2 linked regions of the Mus musculus genome follow. The protein of the gene in region 1 binds, or shares a complex with, the protein of each later gene. Links are inferred from orthologs where the notes say so. Each region holds a gene or a part of one and is shown on either strand. Other genes may lie near its edges.

What was found.
Region 2: the proteins of Spindoc (region 1) and Spin1 are in contact, whole or in part, in a crystal structure (PDB 7CNA), measured with the Homo sapiens proteins. The link is inferred for Mus musculus from reciprocal best matches to the Homo sapiens genes SPINDOC and SPIN1. Residues at the interface, in NP_612480.1 of Homo sapiens: Phe256, Ala258, Pro259, Ala260, Val262, His264, Phe265, Thr266, Asp267, Ser269, Phe270, Pro271, Gly273, Phe274, Val275, Leu276, Gln277, Leu278, Phe279, Ser280; in NP_006708.2 of Homo sapiens: Met154, Thr169, Tyr170, Glu171, Pro174, Pro206, Val209, Val210, Leu213, Lys216, Gln217, Val218, Glu219, Tyr220, Thr229, Val232, Val242, Tyr243, Ile245, Phe247, Asp249, Asp250, Tyr254, Val255, Tyr256, Asp257, Leu258, Val259, Lys260, Thr261.

The regions. Positions count from the first base shown.
Region 1 is NC_000085.6:7,368,891-7,380,029, forward strand, and holds part of Spindoc (spindlin interactor and repressor of chromatin-binding protein), read right to left. Parts: intron 6,737-11,139; coding exon of another isoform or gene 6,620-6,736; intron 5,961-6,619; coding exon 5,631-5,960; intron 5,556-5,630; coding exon 5,406-5,555; intron 5,258-5,405; coding exon 5,132-5,257; intron 4,965-5,131; coding exon 4,767-4,964; coding exon of another isoform or gene 4,753-4,766; exon of another isoform or gene 2,253-4,752; intron 1,873-2,252; exon of another isoform or gene 1-1,872. UniProt on the Homo sapiens protein: Chromatin protein that stabilizes SPIN1 and enhances its association with histone H3 trimethylated at both 'Lys-4' and 'Lys-9' (H3K4me3K9me3).
Region 2 is NC_000079.6:51,140,937-51,152,075, reverse strand, and holds part of Spin1 (spindlin-1), read right to left. Parts: intron 7,775-11,139; coding exon 7,541-7,774; intron 3,115-7,540; coding exon 2,915-3,114; 3' UTR 1-2,914. UniProt on the Homo sapiens protein: Chromatin reader that specifically recognizes and binds histone H3 both trimethylated at 'Lys-4' and 'Lys-9' (H3K4me3K9me3) and is involved in piRNA-mediated retrotransposon silencing during spermatogenesis.

The sequences.
Region 1 (11,139 bases):
ATGATTTAAATTAAAAATCCACTTGTAAAAGGCAGCTTGAGAGCTGGGCGTGGTGGTGCACACCTTTAATCCCAGCACTCAGGAGGCAGAGGCAGGTGGATTTCTGAGTTCCAGGCCAGCCTGGTCTACAGAGTGAGCTCCAGGACAGCCAGGGTTACATAGAGAAACCCTGTCTCGAAAACAAAACAAAAAACTTAAAGCTGGCTGTGGATTTGAAGCACGGCTCTCTCCTTTAAACCCAGGAATGCTTGTTAAAGGAAAATCTAAAATCTCTGTCCCATATCAGAAGAACCACCTGATACGAGACAGAGGAAAACAAAAAAATAAAGGCCACTAATCTCATAACCTTTGTTTGACTTTTAACTTTTCTGGCCAGGCAGTGGTGGCACACACCTTTAATCCCAGCACTTGGGAGGCAGAGGCAGGCGGATTTCTGAGTTCCAGGCCAGCCTGGTCTACAGAGTGAGTTCCAGGATAGCCAGGGCTACACAGAGAAACCCTGTCTCGGAAAACAAAAAAGCAAGCTTTTCTGAAGGTATAAATATTATCTCAAAACCTGTAAGATTATTATGTAGTAGTTATACAGAACACTAATTCTGGAAATAAGTTTTGTAGCCTCCCTCAGCCTTGAAGCAGGCTGATCCAGACTTTGACCTTGCTGCCACTAAGGAGGAGATTACCTAGGGTCTACGCCTTCTGACCTGGATGGCTCTATTTGCTCTTCTCCAAGACTCTGCTTCCTGCAGAAAGGTCCGTGAGATGTTCCAGAGACACACCCTGTAGATCGCCTATGGGCTGGCTCCAGGCACCAAGAATGGGCTGGTGGGGGATGGGCCTACCCTCTTTATAAATACAGATTCAGTAAACTTCGAAGGCTTTGAACAGAAAGGTTTGTCTTGGCCTCATTCTTTTCTCACTGTCTGATCTCTTTCAGCCCCAGCCTGCCTTTCAGGGGAACCCAGTTCAAGTGGTTGCAGGCCGCTACAAATTTGATCTAGCTTCCTTTGTGTGCTTGCAGGTTGGAGTCTGAAACAGGTTAACTAGAAACAAAGTTTGTGTACTTAATAGATTGTGATGCGCAAGACATTCAAACTACTGAGTTCATAGGACACTGACATGAAGTTTTACATAATTTTTTAATACAAAATACTTAATCTTAAGACTCCCAAAAATAGCTGGGCGTGGTGGCGCACGCCTTTAATCCCAGCACTCGGGAGGCAGAGGCAGGCCGATTTCTGAGTTCCAGGCCAGCCTGGTCTACAGAGTGAGTTCCAGGACAGCCAGAGCTATACAGAGAAACTCTGTTTCGAAAAAACCAAAAAAAAAAAAAAAATAAAATAAAATAAAAAAGACTCCCAAATATAATCAAACTGAACTTTGTGAAATGCCTGGCAGAACTAGCTTCAGTACTATAAATAGTGTTACTGTGATAAAGTTAAATTCTTTCCTTTTTATTAGACAAAAAAGGGGGAAATGTTTCAGAATTATGCTCTGAACCCTGAGACTATTTACAGAAAACAAAACAAAACAAAACAAAACAACTGTCTAATTGTGGTGTGGCTTAGCCTTAGCACAAACCTATAATCCAAAAGCTTTCTGTTTATTGTAAACAAGATTAAATAAAGTTAACCATAGGTCAAGAGGTGAAGCAAGCAACCAAGTGATGTGACAGGGAGCGAAGCTAGGAAACTACCACAGAATAAGAAGTCAGGAGGATGGACCCAGGCACACAGGAAGGAGAAGGGAGGGACACTCACTTGGGGGAGGGGTTGCAACAGTGTGGAGATGGAGAGCTTTCCTTTTGGGATGTATATTCTCTCTCTCTCTCTCTCTCTCTCTCTGATCTCATCTAGCAGGCTTTCACTCCCAAGTCTGAATTGGTAAAATCAAACAATTTGTTAAAAACAACATACTGGGGACTGGAGAGATGGCTCACTGGTTAAGAGCACTGACTGTTCTTCCAGAGGTCCTGAGTTCAATTCCCAGCAACCACATGGTGGCTCACAACCATCTGCAATGGGATCCGATGCCCTCTCTTCTGGTGTGTCTGAAGAGAGTAACAGTGTATTCCCATATATAAAATAAATAAATCTTAAAACAAACAAAGAAACAGAAAACCCACCCACCATACTATTCTAGGTGCTGAGGACATAAAAGTGAGCCAAACCAAAGAACCTTCTGAGGCTCACGTTTGCAGGTGCAGCACCGCACTTCCTCTCACTGCCTTCCTGCTCAGTTCAGCTTGGAGATACCTTGCCTGTGGCTGTGGTGACCAGCTTCCCGAGTTAGCACTTGAAAAGTGGACACAGGAGGAACAAGAATTCAATGCCAGCCTTGGTTACATAGTTTAAAGCCAGCCTGGGCTATAGAAGACCCTGTTTCAAAAAAAAAAGCAAAAGCCAGGTATCACACAGTGGCTTACAATTGTACTGTAAGCACTTGGGGAGCTGAGCAAAGAAAATCACGAATCATGTGTTCTAAGCAAACTGGGTCAACAGAGTAATAAAAAGCCTTTACCACCCCTCTCCCCTGGAAGGACTTGTGGACACATCAGTTTACTTTCTCTACTGCTTTGTAAATTCCTTTATCCACATGTTGCAAACAAGGTTCTTGGAAAGTTCCAGAAAGTTTTCCCAGGCAGCTTCATATGCATATCCATTAGTTCAGCAAAGCTGACGCCAGTGAGCTTGTCTTGTTTCTGTGTCTATGATTTTTACTCATCTTTTCTTTGGGGTAGAACTTTACTTCTATGAAAGCTGAATACCCTGGAGCTGTCAAACCTCTGGGTCCCCAAACAAGAAACCAGCAGAGGCTTTGCTCTGACAAGGTTCCATATACCATGACAGTACCAGGACACACTGCTACCTCCTCAGTCCCATTCTCTCCCTCTGCCACCACCTGTGATGCCCTGACCCAGTTTGCTTCAACTCACCATCCCAGATAGGTAGTTTGGGCACAGGATACCCCAAGACTCATGATGAAGGAGTCCTTCATCTGTGAAGGCGGAAGGCCCCAGGTTGATCAAGGAGGCCCAGAAGCATGCAAGTCCAAGGAGGATATGGCTGCCCAGGAAGTAACACTGGAATGTAACTGACTGAAGGAAGTACATGAGTGAGGCCTGTCTTAAGAGTGAAGACCATTTAGGTAAACAGAGGCACATAGTGCACTCCTCTACAGACTTCTGATGAAGAAAAAGGATATGACCAAACGAGTAAAAGTGGGCACTACGGACAAGGGAAATCACATGCTTGCTTGCCTCCATACTGAAAGCTTACCTCTTCTTTGCAAGCCCCATGCCAGGTCTATGGTTGCCTATTAGCTGGTTTACTTATCCCAGCACCAAAAGCATATTAATGAAGCATTTCTAACTTTATGGGACAAGGGTCTAAGCACTCCCCGGCAACAACCAATCCTTCATTCACAAGTTGCTTATCCTGAGATGCTGTAATCTGAATTCAACATTACAAGGGGAGGATCCAGCCTTAGCCTCCCCGAGGGCACTGCAGTCTTCATTTCCCCATAATGGTACAGGACTGTAAGTTAGCAGAAACACCCTGGAGCTGTGGACATGCCTCAGTGTTTAAAAGTACACAGGAGTTTGATTGTCAGTATGCACACTGGGAATAAAGGCATGCACCACTACCACCCGGTTATAAATCTTTTAAAAAGCTTATAAAATAAAACTAAATTAAAGAGCTGGACAGGAGCCGGGCGTGGTGGCACACACCTTTAATCCCAGCACTTGGGAGGCAGAGGCAGGCGAGTTTCTGAGTTGTTCTGGAACTACAGAGTGAGTTCCAGGACAGCCAAGGTGATACAGAGAAACCCTGTCTCAAAAAAACAAAAACAAAAACAAACAGAGCTGGACAGGGTAGCGAATGCCTTTAATCCTAGCACCTAGGCAGAGGCAGGGAGGTCTCAAGTGGACTGAAGCCAGCTCTGTCTACATCATGAGTTTCAGGACAGTTAAAGCTACATAGTGAGATCCTGTCTCAAAACACCAAAAAAAATTAAAAACAATAAAAATGTGTTTGTTTGGTTTAGTTTAATTGGGGAGGGGAAATATGTGAGCCATGGACACGTGGAGGTCAGAGGGTACTTTCAGTAGCCTGCTTCTCTCCTTCTCATTTTGGGGACTGAAGCCAAGTCGTCAGTTTGGCAGCACATATCTTCACCTGATGAGCCGATATCTCCCCGCTCCCCATGTACAGCTTACGGAAGGAGCTTTTTTGGGTTCTGATTTGTAAAGATTGGTTCTCACTCTGTAACCTAGGCTACTTCCAACCTGTGGCAAACCTGTCTCAGACTTTCAAGTGTTAGAAACCACGTTATGCTTTGTTTATAAGGTATTTAATAAGGATCAAATGAATTATATTCAAGAGTTTCTCAGTCAGTAGGCTAGGTTATAACCACAAACAGCAGCTGTCAATGGAAGTTCACTTGTATTATTGAGAATCCTTTTGATGTTCATCACTTGCCCATGGTCCCCACACCTGTTTAATCTTGGGCCCCTCTGTCACCAGAGTGACGGAAGCTCTTCCAGAGCTCCAGCCTCATGGTCTGAGCTGAGCACCAAGCGTTGGAAGGCCTAGCAAAACTTAATGACCACTGCCAGAGATGCCCCACTTAGAGGCCAGCTTCCTCAGCATTCAAACCCCTGTCCTTGGCCTTCTCTTGAAGGCCTAAACACCCAGCACCTCTATCTGGGCTCTGGCTGTGATCCAGGGACTCAGCTTTCCTCACCGGCCCCTCCTAGCAGGGCTCACCTGAAGAGGGGTTTTGTGGCTGGGGCAGGCCCTCTGCTGCTCTGCTGTCCTTAGAAGAGTCCTTACAGTCAGTGGTCCTGAGCTGAGTGTGGGAGAAGAGCTGGAGGACGAAGCCAGGAGGGAAGCTGCCATCAGTGAAGTGTCGGACTTCAGCTGGTGCTGCGAATGTCTCTGTGGGTGACTCAGGAGACGGGGGGTCTGGAAGAAGGCCACACAGAAGTGTGTATGAGTAGAAGAGGACAGATCCCAAAGGCTCAAGCCCTAAGCTTCAGCCGAGCTCATGCAGAAGTTCTCTGGTGTCCACTTCCTCATGGACTTCATGCTCCAGTGTTACAGCCAGGCTCAGCAGCCCTAAGTCCCCTCACCTGGGTCAGGGTCCAAGATTTTGGTCATATGCCTGCTTCTCTTCTTTCTAGCAGGTTCATTCTCAGGGGACTCTTTCCATCTCTGACCACGGGGCTTTTTATTCCCTTGCTCTATGACAGGGGTAACTGCAAAAGAAAACAACTTTAGTACTTTCAGGCCACTCACTCTTTACCCGAGGTTTACTCTTTAACCTCAGGTTCCTGATAACACCTGCCCACCCCAGCCCCTTAGCACAGGATGTCCCACTAAACCAAAGCTTCCCTGTTGACTGACCGGGCAGCTCAAGGGGGCGGAGTCCTCTGGGCCGGAGCCTCTTAGGAAGGGATGGGTTGTCCTCGGAATCCAAGAGGACCACTATCTCTGCTGGCATCCTGACAGGATCCGGGTTGGAGATGGGGTCTGGCTGGCCATCCTGGCCTGACTCTGAGGGGGCAAAAGCCCACTGAGCTCGAGGGCCCCCACAGGCCCCACTTCTCCCTCAGCCCTCACCCTTACTACCTAGGCTGGGCAGGGATGGCTGGTCAGCTTGGATGTCTTGCAGAAGGGCAACCCCTTCACTCCAGGCTTCTAAGATGTTGCTCTTCTCAGAGGGGCTCAGGTCCAGGGTGTGAGGATGCTGCTCCAGGATGTGTGCGCGAGCAGTGTCTGCTGATGGGGACCGGATCTCAGCCCCACACACCATGCACAGCGCCCGTCCACTGCCTCCTGGGCTGTTCCCCACCAGGAACTCCTGCTCCCATGACACTTGCTGCTTGAGCTCCTCACAGCCTTCAACACCTGCTTCCAGCAGGTTAGGCCGAGGTGGCGGCGTCTTTTCCTGTTGGGTTACTGCAGAAAGGGGAATGTGCTGTGAAGATGCCAGGGCTGATGATGCTGTGTGGGATGGGTGATTCTTGTGCAATGTTCCATCCCCCCATCAGATCCTAGCCAACCAGCATGAGGCACACAGGGTGCCTGATACTGCACGTATCCCTTTACTTCTCATCTAGTCATGGTCCCACCCCCAGCTTCTAGAGCTGAAAGGCATCATATGCCTGCCTTTGATCATCTGGCAGGTATCATTCCTGTGAGGCTTCTTCTAGGTTTCCTCACCTAAGAGTCAACTCTGCCCACATCCGATTTGTAGGCCACAGTGTACATACTTCAGTCTCAAGTAGTCTAGCCTTAAATTTACTATGTAGTGAAGGTCAATTTTAAATTCCTAATCCTCTTGCTTCCACCATGCCTGGTATTTGAAGTGATAGGAATCAAACCCAGGGCTTCATGTTTGCTACACTCTACCAACTGAGACATAACCTTAACCACCCCCTTTAAAGTATTAACTAGTGGATGTATAATGTAGGGAGGAGGGTGGGGTGGGTGGGTGGATGGAGCCATGACACATGTGCCAAGGAGTGCAGTGGAAGGCAGAGGACAGTGCTGTAGGATGAAGTTCCATCCATCCACCCTCACATGGACTCAAGAGGCTTGAGGTCACGCGTGGTTACCTAGGATGGCCTTGAAATCAGAACCATGGGGGTGACTTTTACACACCCTCTCCCTTTCAGTTTCCAGTCTGAGATGCAGCCTTGGCTCCCTCTGGACCACCAGCTTGTGTGCTGAACCTAAGAAAATACTTTTCAGAAAATTTTATCTCAATGCTATGGTATCTTTTAATAAGTACTGCTGTCCTTTTAACAGCGGCTCACAAACATCCATTCTTCCAATAAAGCAAGGTTTCACTTGCTTTTTTTTTTTTAACTAATTTTTGTTCCATGTGCATTAGTGTTCTGCCTGCATGTACATGCTCTTGCATGAAGGCGTCAAATCCTCAGGAGCTGGAATTACAGACAGTTGTCAGTGGCCATGTGCTCTTAACTACTGAACCATCTTTCCAACCCGCCAACTTGCAGATTCTTAAAATTTAAATATATGCCACCATCAGCCGTGATAGGATCCTTTGCTTCTGTCAGACGCTCACACACCAACCCTTGGTTGGCTATATTTCTCCCTTTTCCCTCCTGAGACAGGGCTTCCCTGATAGCCTTTGCTGTCCCTACAACTCTTCCCCTTCCCTCTTCCTCCCAAATTCCTCACCCCCACCCCCATGCCTGGTGCTTCTCTTGACATTCTTATCTTTTAAGCTTCTACTACAGCTCATTAAACTCTGAGCACTTCCCGGCTAAGTTCTAAAGGCTTCCACAACCCTCCCATCAAACCTCTACAGATCCACTACAGCAATATCCAATTCTCCTGGTACCAACTTCTGCCCAAGTTTGGTTCTGATGCTGTGATAAACATAACCAAAAGCAACTAGGGGAGTATGTTGACTAGTTTTTGTCAACTTGACACAGCCATAATTAATAGGAGTCTCAACTGAGAAAATGCTTCCATATGATCAGACTACCCAAACCTATTGAACATTTTCTTATTTAGTGATGTGGAAAGGCCCAGGTCATTATGGGTGGAGCCATTCCTGGGTTGCTGGTCCTGGTTCTATAAGAAAGCAGATTAAACAAACATAAGAGCAAGTCAGTAAGCAGCACTCAGGACATCTACAGCAGCTCCTACTTCCAGGTTCCTGCCCTCGCTTCTTTTGAAAAGTAAATGGAACTGTGAATAAAATAAATTCTTTCTTCCCCGTATTAATAAACAAACAAACAAACAAACAAACAAACTGCTGAATTAGATCAACCTGTATACTTACTTTAAAGGTGTTTTAACATCAGAATGGAAGTCAGGGAATGTGCTGCATTGGGGAAGAGGTTTTGTCTGTGTTCCCACAAGTGAAAGACTATGGATTTTATCAAAATTGATAAAGATATGATCTGAATAAAGTCAGCTCTCACATGAAAGACAGGACTCAGGAAAGAGAGTTGCAGAAAGACAGCAACACAGACAACATAGGAAGCTGACTTGCCCTGCATGAGACCAGTTCAACAAACTCGCTGAAAAAAGACAGATCCTCAGTTCATTAGCAGACTGGGAAACTCTGCTGTGCAATGAAGAACAGCTATCAGGGCTACAGTTAGGAAGGAACGTCACATCAGCAGAGCTTCACAAGGACGTTCAGACTGGTAAGTCTGTGTGACCGATAACTATTTCTGTTGTGAAAGTTAAACTGTGTGTAATTTTTACCTTGACCAGAAAGGGGGAGTTACAGAGAAATTTTATTCCAGCAACTTGGATTTGGCTGGAAAGACACACCTTTAATCCCTCAGACTAGAATACAGACACACCCTTAATATGCACCTTTAATCCCTCAGACTAGAATACAGACACACCCTTAATATGCACCTTTAATCCCTCAGACTAGAATGCAGACACACCCTTAATATGCACCTTTAATCCCAAACAGTGTAAGTTAATTTGAAGGAAACTGCCATTTTTGAAAGTGACCTCTAGTTGAGGGGCACAAAAAGTGACAAATCAGAGAAAGATGTGATAAAAGAGTCAGAGATAGGATATGCTCAACAAATAGAAAGGAAAGGATGTAAAAGAACAGCGCGCCCGGGCACACACACACTCACACACACACACACACACAGAGACAGAGAGAGACAGAGAGAGAGAGAGAGAATGAGAAAAGTTTTACCAAGACAAGTTACAGAATGAAAGGAGCCAGAAGCCAGAAGATTAGAACAGATTGCCAGAGTTAGTTTGAGGCTAAGCAGAGCAATCCAGAAGCTGAGAGAAGCCTTTTGAATTGGTCAGCTTGGGGGAATTCAGGCAGGAAGAGCTGAGTTGAACCAGCCAACCAGAGTTGAGAAAGAGCTACAAAGGGTGAGTTTATTCACCAGTAAGCCTCCAAGATGACAGTTACACCGAGAGGACAGTTACATCTGGTGAGTCAGCATCAGAGGCTGAGACAGTCTAGGCCTAGATTAGATTGTATGGAGCCAGAAGCTTCCAGGCCTAAGCCTATGGATAAACAGAACAGAGAAAGAAATGCTCTGGGCTCAGTCCAAGCTGTCTATTTGCACAACCTGGGTGCAGCTCGCATCTCATCCCTTCATCTAAGAAAGTAAGTTACTTTTCTATTTCCCTAAGTTGCTTTTGGTCATGGTCATCACAGCAACAGTAACCATAACTAAGAAAAGAAAGGGTTACTTAAACCGTTAATTCATCATCTAGGGACACCAAGGCAAAGGTGAAGCAGAAACCAGAGAAAGAAAAGGGGCTTACTAGTTTTCTCCCAAGTTCCTTTAGCTACCTTTCTATACACAGCTCTGGCCCAATAAGCAATCAAGAAAATGCTCTATGGTAGACCCACAGGGTAATCTGACTGAGGCAACTCTTTGAATGAGGTTCCATCTTCCCAGATGGCAACCAAGATTAACCACAATGTAAATATCCCCCCCCCCCCCCCCCCGACAGGGTTTTCTCTATATAGCCCTGGCTGTCCTGGAACTTACTTTGTAGACCAGGCTGGCCTCGAACTCAGAAATCTACCTGCCTCTGCCTCCGGGGTGCTGGGATTAAAGGCGTGCACCACCACGTCCGGCTAATATAGTATATATTCTTTTGGGAGTGAAAATACTAAATTTGGGCTGGAGAGATGGCTCAGTGGTTAAGAGCACTGACTGCTCTTCCAGAGGTCCTGAGTTCAATTCCCAGCAACCACATGGTAACTCACAACCATCTGAAATGGGATTTGATGCCCTCTTCTGGTGTGTCTGAAGATAGCTACAGTATACTCATATACATAAAATAAATCTTTAGAAAAGAAGAAAGAAAATACTAAAGTCGATCAATGTGATGGTTTGTATATGCTTGGCCCAGAAAGTGGCACTAATAGGAGGTGTGGCCTGGTTGGAGTAGGTGTGTCACTGTGGCAGTGGGCTTTAAGAGCCTCATCCTAGCTGCCTGGAAGCGAGTCTTCTCCTAGTAGCCTTCAGATGAAGATGTAGAACTCTCAGCTCTGCCTGCAGCTTGCCTGCCTGGCCGCTGCAATGTTTCCACCTTGATGATAATGGACTGAACCTCTGAACCTGCAAGCTAGTCACTATTAAATGTCTACGAATTGTCCTGGTCATGGTTTCTGTTCACAGAAGTAAAATCCTAACTAAGACAATCATCTTATTGTTACCAAAGAACTGGCATGCAGAAAATGGCTGTCCTGCCAAAGGTCAGCCTGTCTCTTACAAGGAAAAGCCTTCCTTTTCTAGGGTGCTCCTGAAGGATGTGCAATGATGGCCATGTCCCTGTGGCTTGTGTTACCAGATCTCTGAGATGAGAAAAGTTCCCTCGGAGCAGAACTGCTCAATGCAGAGGCAGTCTGGTCCTCTTCTGTCTGTGCCTGTGAATCCGAGTACTATAACTCCTCCTCTACCAACTGGGACCTAGGAAAAGGGCACTTCTGGAATAGTCTAGGTTCTATAAGACTGGACCCCTAGTTTCAATTGATCTTTTTCTCTTAATTCTCCTAAACCAGGGTTCATGAAGGTCAACCAGCCCAGCCAGCACTTCTTCCTCACAGTACTTTTAATCTTGACTTCTGCTACTCAAAAGCATTCAGGAAACTACATGCCTTTGGTTCTCTTTCTGTTCCTCCTCTTGTCACCTACCTGGGTCTTTCCCCTTCCCTTCGGAAAATCACACTGACGACTATTTCCTCAACTCCCCACAGAAGCTGACCATCTCATCCCCCTCTGTGCCATATTTCCTCCACAGCACAGTATAGGCCCTCAACAGATGTCTGTTTGTGTCTAAATCTCAAGCACTAACAGCACTAGACATCAATGACAAGGGACTGACCTCAGCTCTTTGATCCCTTTGGCCTCCTCCTTTGGGTAATTCTCACCTGCTGCCTTCTGACAACTCCCATACTTTCCTTCAGCAGTAGTGGGACTGACTGAAGGGCCATAGACTTGTACTTGGTAGCTAGCTGAGTATTCACCAATGAACTCTATTTCTAGCTATCTTTTTTACTCTGAGACAAGATCTACTATCCAGGCTGGCTGAGAATTTGTGATCCTCCTGCATCAGACTCCTGAGTAACTCAAATTACAAGCCTGATAAGCATATC
Region 2 (11,139 bases), on another chromosome or scaffold:
TGGCACATAAAACAAGAATAGAAATGAAATCTGGCTTAGAAGCAACTGTGATCTTTAGAGCGTGCACAGTCCCTTCGAATGCTGCGTGACATATACAACTGGAATCACCTTCGGTCGGCGCTACGACTGCTTCACCAGTTCGTCTTTACCCTACAACCACTAGAACAGCACAGTAAGCAAATATACAGGAAACCAAAAGCAAACTGAAAGAAAGAGAGAAAGAAAGAAAGAAAGAACCTAGGTCTCTTTGACATGCAATTTTAGTTTTAGTTACATTGAACATTCTACTTAGAAGAGAGCATGCAAAAATGGATGGTCTGCTTTAAGGTTCTTCTCTGAAGTTTACGTGGCAGCCTGACGTCACACACGCACGCACACACGATACGATACTAGAGCAGGTAAGTGAAGAAGGCCAGTAAATTTTATACACAGATTCACGGCCCGTGTTGCCACAAGCCCCATGAAAATTTTGGAAATTAATGCTGAACTCCTAAATGAGGAATCAACATTCAGATACCAGAACAATGCAAGCAATGCATGCAGATCTGAACTGTGAGCCTAAGGGAAGTCCAAGGTGGCAGGCCCAGGAGTCTGTCACCATTAAGGGTGGTGGAAGCCACCAAAAGAAAGAGGGTGGGGTGGGGGAATTAAAAAAAAAAAAAAGAAAAAAAAAACAATTAAAAGACAAACAAACCAAACCTTCCCCTTCCCTCAACCTTATGTAAAGGCAATAAATGGAATCGTGATCAAAATCATCCCCGTCCTCACGCTTTCCTCCTCCAGCCTGGGAGTCCACGGGGAACCAAAGTTAACTGAGGTGGCTTGTAGAAAACCACAATGTAAGTCATCAGATAGTGGCAGACAGGTTCTAACTGACCCAGTCCTTGGGACACTTCAAAAGGAGTTTTACTTTCTAGTCACCATGCCATGTTCTGCACCGTTAGTGCATGCAGGACGTACTCACACCCACTTGTGCCACAGATGACAGCATGGGCTGTGAGTCAGACTCAGCTCGGAGATTTACATGCAGGACGACACCTGGTCACATATACTAGAGGCACCAAAGACTAGGGTATATCATACTGCCTTGAGAAGCCTGTCCCTGGTGCCTATGAGAAAACACTGAGCACACAACGATTGCAGCCAAGGACAGAACTGAGGTACTATGTTCACATGGTGAGCAGTTGTGACCACCCAGCAGTGTAAGGTGGTCAGCCTCTGTGAAAACTAAATGGATAGCCAATAACCATGTGCCTCGAACAGTGAAAAATTTCTTGCATCAGGAAGAACCCCAACTAGGTAATTGTAACTATACTTGGCCAAGCCTCTGGTGTTTGCTTGACAGTATCCAAGACTGTCCAGCCACAGATAGGTTCAACCTCCGTGAGAAACTGGTTTTTACAAACCATCTTTCTACCAGCTGACAAGCTACCATGGTTCTTCCAAAACAAAGTGAGAGCAAGCAGATGTTTGGCTAGTCTACCAACTGCATTTCAGTTCTATTTCAGCTTTAAGCAACCTCCCAGGAATAATCCTGAATGCACTTGATGGCGAAGAGCTGCGATCCACCCATAACTGGCAAGCATGACCTTCCCAGCGACACACACATCATAGACATGCAAAGCCCGGAGGCCATGGAGGGAATAAACCTGCGTGAATAGCACACCTGGGGCAGGAACAGACACTGCCACAACAGGATCAAGGCAAGAAGCCATACTGGTCTAACATTCTCTGTGGGGAAAGCTAGGAGGAGAGGGAGTGAGGGAGGAAGGGAGAAGAGGCCTTCTGACCATAACCATGTATCAATAGTAGTAATCAAAATTACAAAGTCCCAGAGAACTTGATAGAAGGCAACAAGGCCATCCTTAAAACTTACATTTCTAATACAAATGCACTGTTCTTGCAGGAATTCACCACATATACAAACCATTGATGTAGTGTTGCCTTTTAAGTCCATGTACTAAGATCCCGATGACAGGTGTGTACAAATGGACCAATGTGCCATCTAAAAACACATCTTTATTATTCCATGTGAACCAAGGACCTGGGTCGTGGTTTAAAAGTACTTACGATTAAAGAGTAAACAACAGAAACAAATAATAACAAAAACCACAAAAAAACAAAGCTTAGAATTGAAGGCAGCCTTTTACCCAGATTTCTCAACAGTTTACTAAAGACTACTGTGGGTCATTGACTGTTTATGGCTAATTTATACCTGGACTCAGCTAAAAGCCTCCAGACTGAAATGGTACTCAGAAATTCTGACTTTTTAAACAACCTAAATGTCTCTGTGTGCTTCCTGTGCCCAAATTTAATTTTAAACAAAGAGCAGGCATATTATAAATATGACTGACTTGGGTCAAGCACTCCTGTTGAACTGGAGAAAACGTTATCACCCCCACCCCAATCCCCAAGGAAAGGAGAGCCAGCGGTGAGTGCCTCTGTGTGTGTATAATATATACATAGGCACACAGATGCAGATCTAGACAGGTAGCTATATAGATACATAATCTCTCAAAAAAGGCAGTAACAAAAATAACAAACTATGCTTGCATTGTGGCAGCAGAATAAGACAGTGTCAGAGTGAAGGGAAAATGGTTACAATCTATCCAGGTTTAAATGACTATGATACTAGCTTAACGTTTACCACCTTGCTTGTAACCCCCAACAGACAGCTTTCTTGTAAGAGGGAAGACCCCCTCACACAGATGCTTTGAAGAGGGAGGACTCCCCTCACAGATGCCTTGTGTTCGAATCAGTCTGCACTATTCAGAACAACACCAGCTCTGCTGGTGGAGATTGTGGGTTCGCAGGGACATCTAAGCTTTCATTAAACTGGAAAGCAATCAAGTCTTTATGTCTACAAATTATACATTTAATAGTTCCACAAATTTGGCAAAGTTTGTGATGACATCTAGGATGTTTTCACCAAATCGTAGACGTAAATATGGAAATCGTCATCAAACTTGATGAAATAGACAGAGGGCTTGGCCTCTACTTGGTGGATGACCATGCCAGTCCTTTTCGAGCCGTCTTCTTTGGCATATTCCACTTGCTTGCCTACCAGGCTGTCCACAACTTCTCCTGGCTCCCTTTCTGCTGGAGGCGAATCATCTGTATTTAAAAAGGAAAAGGAAAAAAAAAAAAAAAGTCAAGTCAATATTTAGATAGATCACTACCACATTTTGCAGCAAATATAAACACTTCTAAGATATCCTGAGTTTATCATGATCTCGTCAGGTTAACACTTCCTTAAAGGATTACTCTGTAAGTATTTCAGGCACATGGTCCATGTTCCCAGACTCTCATATATGTGAATGCAGCACCAAAGTGGCCAAGGGCAGTCTGGAAGGTAACTGCCAGGAGGTACTTTAGCAAAACACTTCTCCCATGTCTACTGAGCCCCATCCAAACAGATATGAGTGATTTAAATATTATAACTCAAACTCCTTGGGATCACATTAAATTATAACCACAATCATCTAAAATTAATTTTAAATGGCTTTGAAAGCGACTTTCCTACAGGGCTTCCTGAGAACACACTGCTCATCCCAGTGATAAGGCCTGCCCACTGGGGCCCACCCACCTGTAGATCTTATAACTTCCCCTCCTCAACTTCTATGTAGCCAACCATCTTCCACCCAGTTTCAGAATAAAGGAACTAAAGTCTCCATGCTTTACAAGAAAGCACTAGGTGAACTCCACCCAGGGCAGGAAAATGGAAAATCAGATCCCAGAGGATAGCCCAGGTAGCAGCACCATCCCTGAGAGCCCTAGGTTGTAGTTGTCCCTAGGAAAACACAGACCGACAACAAGCCAAACAAAGTGGGATGGGGATGAGACTACTTTAAACCTCTTCTTAGAGGAGCAGACGGGCTCGTGGGTGGCCAAATGTCTTAGGCACACAAGGCAACCTCTGTTAACCTTGGCATACATGGAAGTGCAGGAGTTTACCAGCACAGCGTCCTAGTGTGGCTCATAGAACATGTCTCTATTAACAACCTTTACCTCCAACCACAGCAAGTCTCTCACTGAATAACCATGTGGAACCTACTATAGTGATTCCTGGTACAAACACAATATAAACTACACATGACGACACAGTCAGTTCTTTTAAACTGGAAAGTGAAAAAAGAAATACTTTTTCTAAAAAATTCTCTTCCCTCAGTTGGCATGCACAGAAAACTTCCAAGTTTACCAAGAAATTCCAAATGTATGATCCCAACTGATTGACAGAAACTCTATAGAGTCCAGACCTTCTCCTGAGGCTTACAAAAGGACTGGATTCAACCCAGTGACGGGGCTGCTTGAGAACTACCAAGAAGGTCAGCACCATTCTAATGGGAGACAAACTGTCCATACAACCTACAGGAAATACAGAAGCTTGGAAAGGCACGAGATCAAGTCATTAGAAAAGATGCAGCATTGTGTGTCAAGGACTTGCATGTCGATTCCTAGACTAACAGCACTTGTTTTGATGGGCATCTCTCTAAAGGCTGCAGAATGCTTTTAAAGAACATAGTTCTGAATATAAATCCTAGAGTATATAAACAATTGCCTTTGTAAATACGAACAGTAACTTTTTAAAAATGAAGCAGTCATTCCAGGCCAGACATGTTCATCAGTAATTCCTCTTAACTGGCTTCCTCATAGCAACAACTTTTTAAAAAGTTTTTCAAAGAAAAATAGAAATGACTGTCACAATGCTAATAGTGTGTGCCTGCTAGCCATAAGGTCTCAGGTCAAGAGTCCACGTGTCTAAGGAGAGGTCCTTTTAGAACAGGTTTAGTCTGATGGGCTACAGTTCCAGCACTCAGGAGGCTGGGCTAGGGAATCCAGAGTTTGAGGTCTTGATAAAATAGCAAGACACTCTTTCAAAACAAAACAAATCAAATACTAATTATTGAATCAACAGGCTTATCCAAAAATTACATAAGAAAACAATACCATTTATAGTAACCTTAAAAAATTCTTAGGGGCCAAAGAAAGGAATGTTTAGACTCTAAAAATTACAAAAGACTGCTGTAAAACGTCACACACCCAAAGCTTTAAAAAAAGCATCCGCAGTCACAGAGTAGAAGAGTTGCTAACACTTGTTATTAAGTGAGGGCAGCACACTCTGCAGGCAGACATGACCGACAGAATCCCAGTAGACCTCTTTACAGACACTGTCAAATTGACTTCAAAATTCATATGCAACTGCAAGAGACCCAGACTAAACAGCCAAGGCAGCCCTGGGATGAACTACGGCAGTGGTCTCACACTTCTGATTTCAATATTTACTACAGAACAATGCAATGCAGTGTGGGAGCTGCAAGGGGAGAGAGAGAGAGAGAGAAACAGAGGAACAGAGCTGGGGATCCAGACATATTCACATATCCACGAAAGGATTCAACAAGATGTCAAAGCCATTCTATGTAAGAAAGAGTAGTCTTTTCAATACATGGTGCTCAGCCACATGGGGATCTACACAAAAAAGAGTGAGCTGACCTCTTCTACCCTGACCTCACACTATACCACATGTTATTTAAAAAACATATCCAACTATGAACCATGTGAAAGAAAACAAAAGGCCTAACGTTAGGATCTTTATTCGGCAAACCTAAAAACAGCAAAAGCACAAGTAACAAAAGACACGAACTGGACCTGAAAGTTAACCACCTCGGTGTCTACGATCCTCAAGATGAGAAAAGACAGAGGAAATGGTACTGCACACCTGCAATCCAGCATGGGGACATGATCACAGAGCAGGAAGACGGAGACTTTGAGGCCAGTTTGGATCATATAGTTACCTGAAGGCCAGCCTAAGCAACATGGCAAGGATCTGTTGTGATGGACCCCCCTACCAAGTGAAAAGACAGCCCAGAGAAGGAGAACATCTTGAAATCCAATTTCTAATAAAAGACATGTATCTACTGACTCTAAGCAATCATTTCACCAGAGATACACAAATGTCTACTAAGCACACAAAAAGATTCCTATGGCATCACTGGTCACCAGGGAAACACAAAGTAAACCACAACGGGAAACTACATCCTCAGTAGAAGAACTATTAGAATGAAAAAGCACGTGCTGGTGAGGAGGAGAGCAGACCCTCGCCCACTTGAAGACAACGCAACCTGGAGATGACACCAAGACCAAAGAATTCCACTTAGAAGTACACACTAAGGAAAAATATGAACACACACCCACAGAGGATCTCACATACTGTTTTTATAAAACACCAATATTCATAGTAACCAAAAATACAGGAACAACCCAAATATGAATCAACAGCTAGACAAATGAAATACAATATAATCCTAACGCTTGTTCCAACATGAGGGAAATGCTAAATAAAAATCGAGTCACAAAAGTCCACACAAGACCCATTCACATGAAACTCCACAGCAGTAAAATTACTGGCTGCTTAGGGCTGTGAGTAAAGGACAGGGAGATCAGAAATAAAAAAGCTGGGCATGGTGGAGGCAGGGGTTTGAGGAATTCAAAGTCATCTTCAACTAAGGAGAAAGGTCAAGATCATCCTAAACTCCCATTGCAAACTAGGGGTGGTAAGCAGCAGGGCCTTGGTGATGCAGCAGTGCTCTGAGGCTAATGGCCTGGACAAGCATTCGTGGCTGTGAATATACTAAAACCCACTGGATTGACTTTACAGCACAAAAACAAACCCCCGAACCAAAAACCAAACCAAACCAATTAAACGGAAAAATGAAACTGCTCTATGTTTGAAGCAAAATCTGCATAGACGGCCGGGAGGCCTTTAATCCCAGCACTTGGGAGGCAGAGACAGGTGGATTTCTGAGTTCGAGGCCAGCCTGGTCTACAAAGTCCAGGACTTTGGACTGGGAGTTCCAGGACAGCCAGGGCTACACAGAGAAACCCTGTCTCAAAAAAACCAAAACAAACAAACAAAAAAACCCTGCATAGACACAGGGTACACTACTGTTAATCCCAGCACTCTGGAGCTCAAGGCAAGAAAGAGATTGATTAAATTCAAGGCCAGTTTAAGTTATAAATAAGTTCCGGGCCAACCTCTGCTACATGGCTGTCTCAAAGAACAAAGCCCGGCTCCAGAAGCCCATGTCATTACTCCACTGCCCACTCTTCCCTGCATCAGCTGTGACTGAACGTTCTCTCCAGGTCAGCTTTGCTTTTGTGATGCTAGGGATATAAGACAGGGCCTCACAGGCGTTTGGCAAGCCCCCTCTCTAGCACTGAGATTTATCTAAAGGCTCCAATTAACTGTTTTCTGAAACCAGCTTCCTTGCCAATTCAATATACACAGATGAAATCATCAATGTCAATGACCTGCTCCAAAATAAATCATCTAGGGGAAGGACCACACTTGCAATGGGAACAGCTACTGAAAGCAACAGAACGGATTCACTTTATTCCTACATGGCTACATACTTCCCATTAACAAAAAAAGTCCTCACTGAAATGTCTCTAAATATTTAAAATAACCTTCCTAAGTGATCATTCCGTCACCTAAGGTTCACAAGTAAAAATTCCTTTCAAATCACCAGTGTGTGAGACTTACTGGAATCAGGCATGATGCGGAGGTCGCCTTCTTTGTAGTCATCGAGGAGCTGGTACATGTACAAGACAGGGTCTTTCTCATAGGTGATGTAAAACCATGTGTTCATGACAGGCGCCCGTGCCAAGACCATCCCCCTCCACTCATCTTTAGAGCCGTCCTCTGTCTCAAACATGTGCTCCACTGCTTTGCCGATCATTGTGTCCGCTAAGTGTGCATCGCTGATCCGAGATGTTGCTGGAATTAGAAGAGCAAAATACTTGAGCAAGTGTTTACCAAAGGATCTCAGACGAGCAACTAAACTACCAAACCAAATGCCAGGGTCTATCCCAGATGTGGACTAAACAGGAAGAAATCTGCCCCGAGGTGAGTAACAATCTGTTCTGTTACTCTCTGTGCTCAGTTGCTCAGTATTCTATCAGTATTATTATCCACACGCTGTGGGTGGTTTCACTGGTTAGCTAGCAGTTACTTTAAGCTATGAATTAGCATGAGACTCACTGGTAGCAACAAGAGCAGAGTCCTCACGCACAGCACACATGCTGCCTCTTCCTGTATCATGTGAAGTCCTCTGAGCTCTCCATGTGCCCACCCACCCTCACATACATAATGCAAAGTATTAACCTAACATGCATGTGTTATAGTTTTTAAACAAACAGAGGTTCACTTCTCATCACTGCTCTGGGAAGTTATTCTTATGCCTATAATGTATTCTCTATAGCAACTAGAGTGATCACTATGGTCCCTAAAGAAAACTATCATTTAAAATGTCTCCATCCTTCAGCCCCTCTGTCTCTCCTCAACTTGAAAGTTGGCTCAGTCTACCCAAAGTTCTTTCTATCTTCAGGGGACAGGCTATTTCCTTAGCAAGATTGCTAGAGCTCTCCAGGACAACTAGGGACAGTGGCACCACCACCTTCCCCATGTGCTGATCCGTTCTTAGTTAGCAGTCCCATTACCTAACGCTACTTTGTTTTATGGAGCGGCTGACCTGGGTAGTGTCTGGATATCCCCATGAAGCAGGGCCATTTCTGTTCCTAGCACTTAGAGCAGTTTCAGGATGACTGAGTGGTACCACAGACAGCCCAGGGATAGCCCTAGGTCTACTCTGTCATTCATACAAAAAGCAAGTAAAGAATTACCAGCCTTTTTGTGTGTTGCTTTTAACATGGGACAGGTTATAAAGGGTGTCTCTCCAGTCCTCACAGTCTAGACAACTGTCTTTCAAACTACTCAGTTCTCTTTTCTAGTCACTCACTATTAAAACTGACTTTTCTAGTCAGTTTCTCTATTAAAATCCAAAGGAAAAGAACTTCGGACTTTCTCAGCAAGTATAATGCTATTCAATGTACTTAGAACATACAAGTTGTTTGTGGTATTACATATACAACAGCAATCAGAAACAGCATGAAATAGGCCCTGCAGAACACTTAAAACATATGTGGAAGCACAAGTGCACCCCCAACCCCAATGGCTTCTTCAAACTAGGAATCATTAAAAATTTAGTAAAAGTAAAAAAATGGGAGCAGGGCGGGGGAGGGTATAGGGGACTTTTGGGATAGCATTTGAAATGTAAATGAAGAAAATATCTAATAAAAAATCCAAAAAAAGTAAAATAATTTCACATTTTTGATTTTTTGTTTATTTGTTTGACTTTGTTTTTCGAGGCAGGGTTTCTCTGTGTAGCCCTGGCTGTCCTGGAACTCACTTTGTAGACCAAGCGGGCCTCGAACTCCCAAGTGCTGGGATTAAAGGTGTGTGCCACCGCTGCCTGGCTATATTTTTGAAATCTTAATGTCTAGTTAAAAGCATTTAAGATATTGCTTGTGCATGTATGTATATATGCATGTAAAGGCCAGAGAAGGGTATCAGATCCCTTGGAGCTGCTGTGATAGGTATTGCTGGATGCCTGTCCTGTTTAGCAGTTGCTGAACTGGCTGAGGTCCTGTTGAATGCTCAGCAAATATTAAGTGTTAAGCCACCTCTGGCTTTCTTTATGTGTAGTTTTTTAAAACAACTTCATTCAGTTATATGAGATCCACCCTCACAGTGATCTGATGTTTAAAAAAAAAAAGATTTTTAGTGAGCTGGTGAGATGGTTCAGTGGTTAAGAACGCCGACTGCTCTTCTGAAAGTCCCAAGTTCAAATCCCAGCAACCACATCGTGGCTCACAACCATTCTGGAGTGTCTGAAGACAGCTACAGTGTACTTACATATAATAAATAAATCTAAAAAAAATTCTTAATTTTTCCCCAGATAATTCTAGCTATTCGTTTGATACTACAAATTATACAGGAGTGTCTGAAGACAGCTACAGTGTACTTACATATAATAAATAAATCTAAAAAAAATTCTTAATTTTTCCCCAGATAATTCTAGCTATTCGTTTGATACTACAAATTATACAAGTAATAGTTCCTCAAAGGACAACTGCAACATAGTCTGAAACAGTTACAACTCTTCAAACTGTTACAAACATATGTCTTAAGAATAAATATGCAAAGAACTACAACTCCTCAATGACCACCACAGCAAAACTCTTCTAATTAAAAAACAATTTGAAGGAACACTTCTGCAAAGATGATATACAGATGGCTAATAAGCATGCAGGTACACTCCACCTTCTTAACTACATACCCTTACACCTACATCGGGCTACTATCAAAAGGGATTTGAAACCCTGTGCACTGCTGGTGGGGCTGTAAAACGCCAACAATGTAGGAAACATTGTGGCAATTCTACTGAAAAAATATAAATTAGAAGACCCCATGATCAAGCCAAAGCACTTCTTGGCAGGTGGTTTTGTTCTTCACCCAGAAAAACAGGAAGGTTTCAGAGTCACTAAACAGTACATTCGCAGCAGCTTCCAACATGGAAGGGCTCATAGATAAACAAAATGGTGTACTCCTATATAAACCAGAGTATGACTTTCAGTACTGAAAGGGAAGGCACTCCTGCCACGTGCTCTGTGAATGAGCCCTGCGTGCACCGCACTAGATGAAATCAGAGAAACTCAATTCTCTATGACGCCATTTACAGGGTGTGTATATAGAGTAGCCAAATGCCTAAAGACAAGAATGGTGGGCAGTAGGGAGAAAGGGGAGAAGCTGCTAACACTTACAGAGCTTCATACCTCAACATGCTAGTGTTGATCACTACACACATACAAATAGTTCTAAATAACACATTCTGCACTGCATTTGCCGTTTCACACTAGCCATCTTGCCCTCTGAATGAATCTTTATCTTGATCATGCTTGGCTTGGGTGTGTGTGTGTGTGAAAGGTCTGAATTATGTAGACCTTCCCAACAGACAGAGGGAACTCACACTGTGTAACTAAAACAATGAAGAGGGTAAGGGGGACAAATCCTTATCTTAATGTTAGGGAAGTAGCAGGTATGAGCACCCTGGTGCCACTGCACGCTCTTCAGGTAGCTCCTTCCCATCTTTCGCATCATTATACAGTTCAATGTACACACTAGTGAGCTAGAAGACTGTTTCCTCAAAAAGCAAATAACCTTCTAGATTCTACTCTCACAGTGAGCATTAAAGTTAAGATTTTTAACTGTCTAGCCAAGTATAGTTCCTACCTATAATCCTG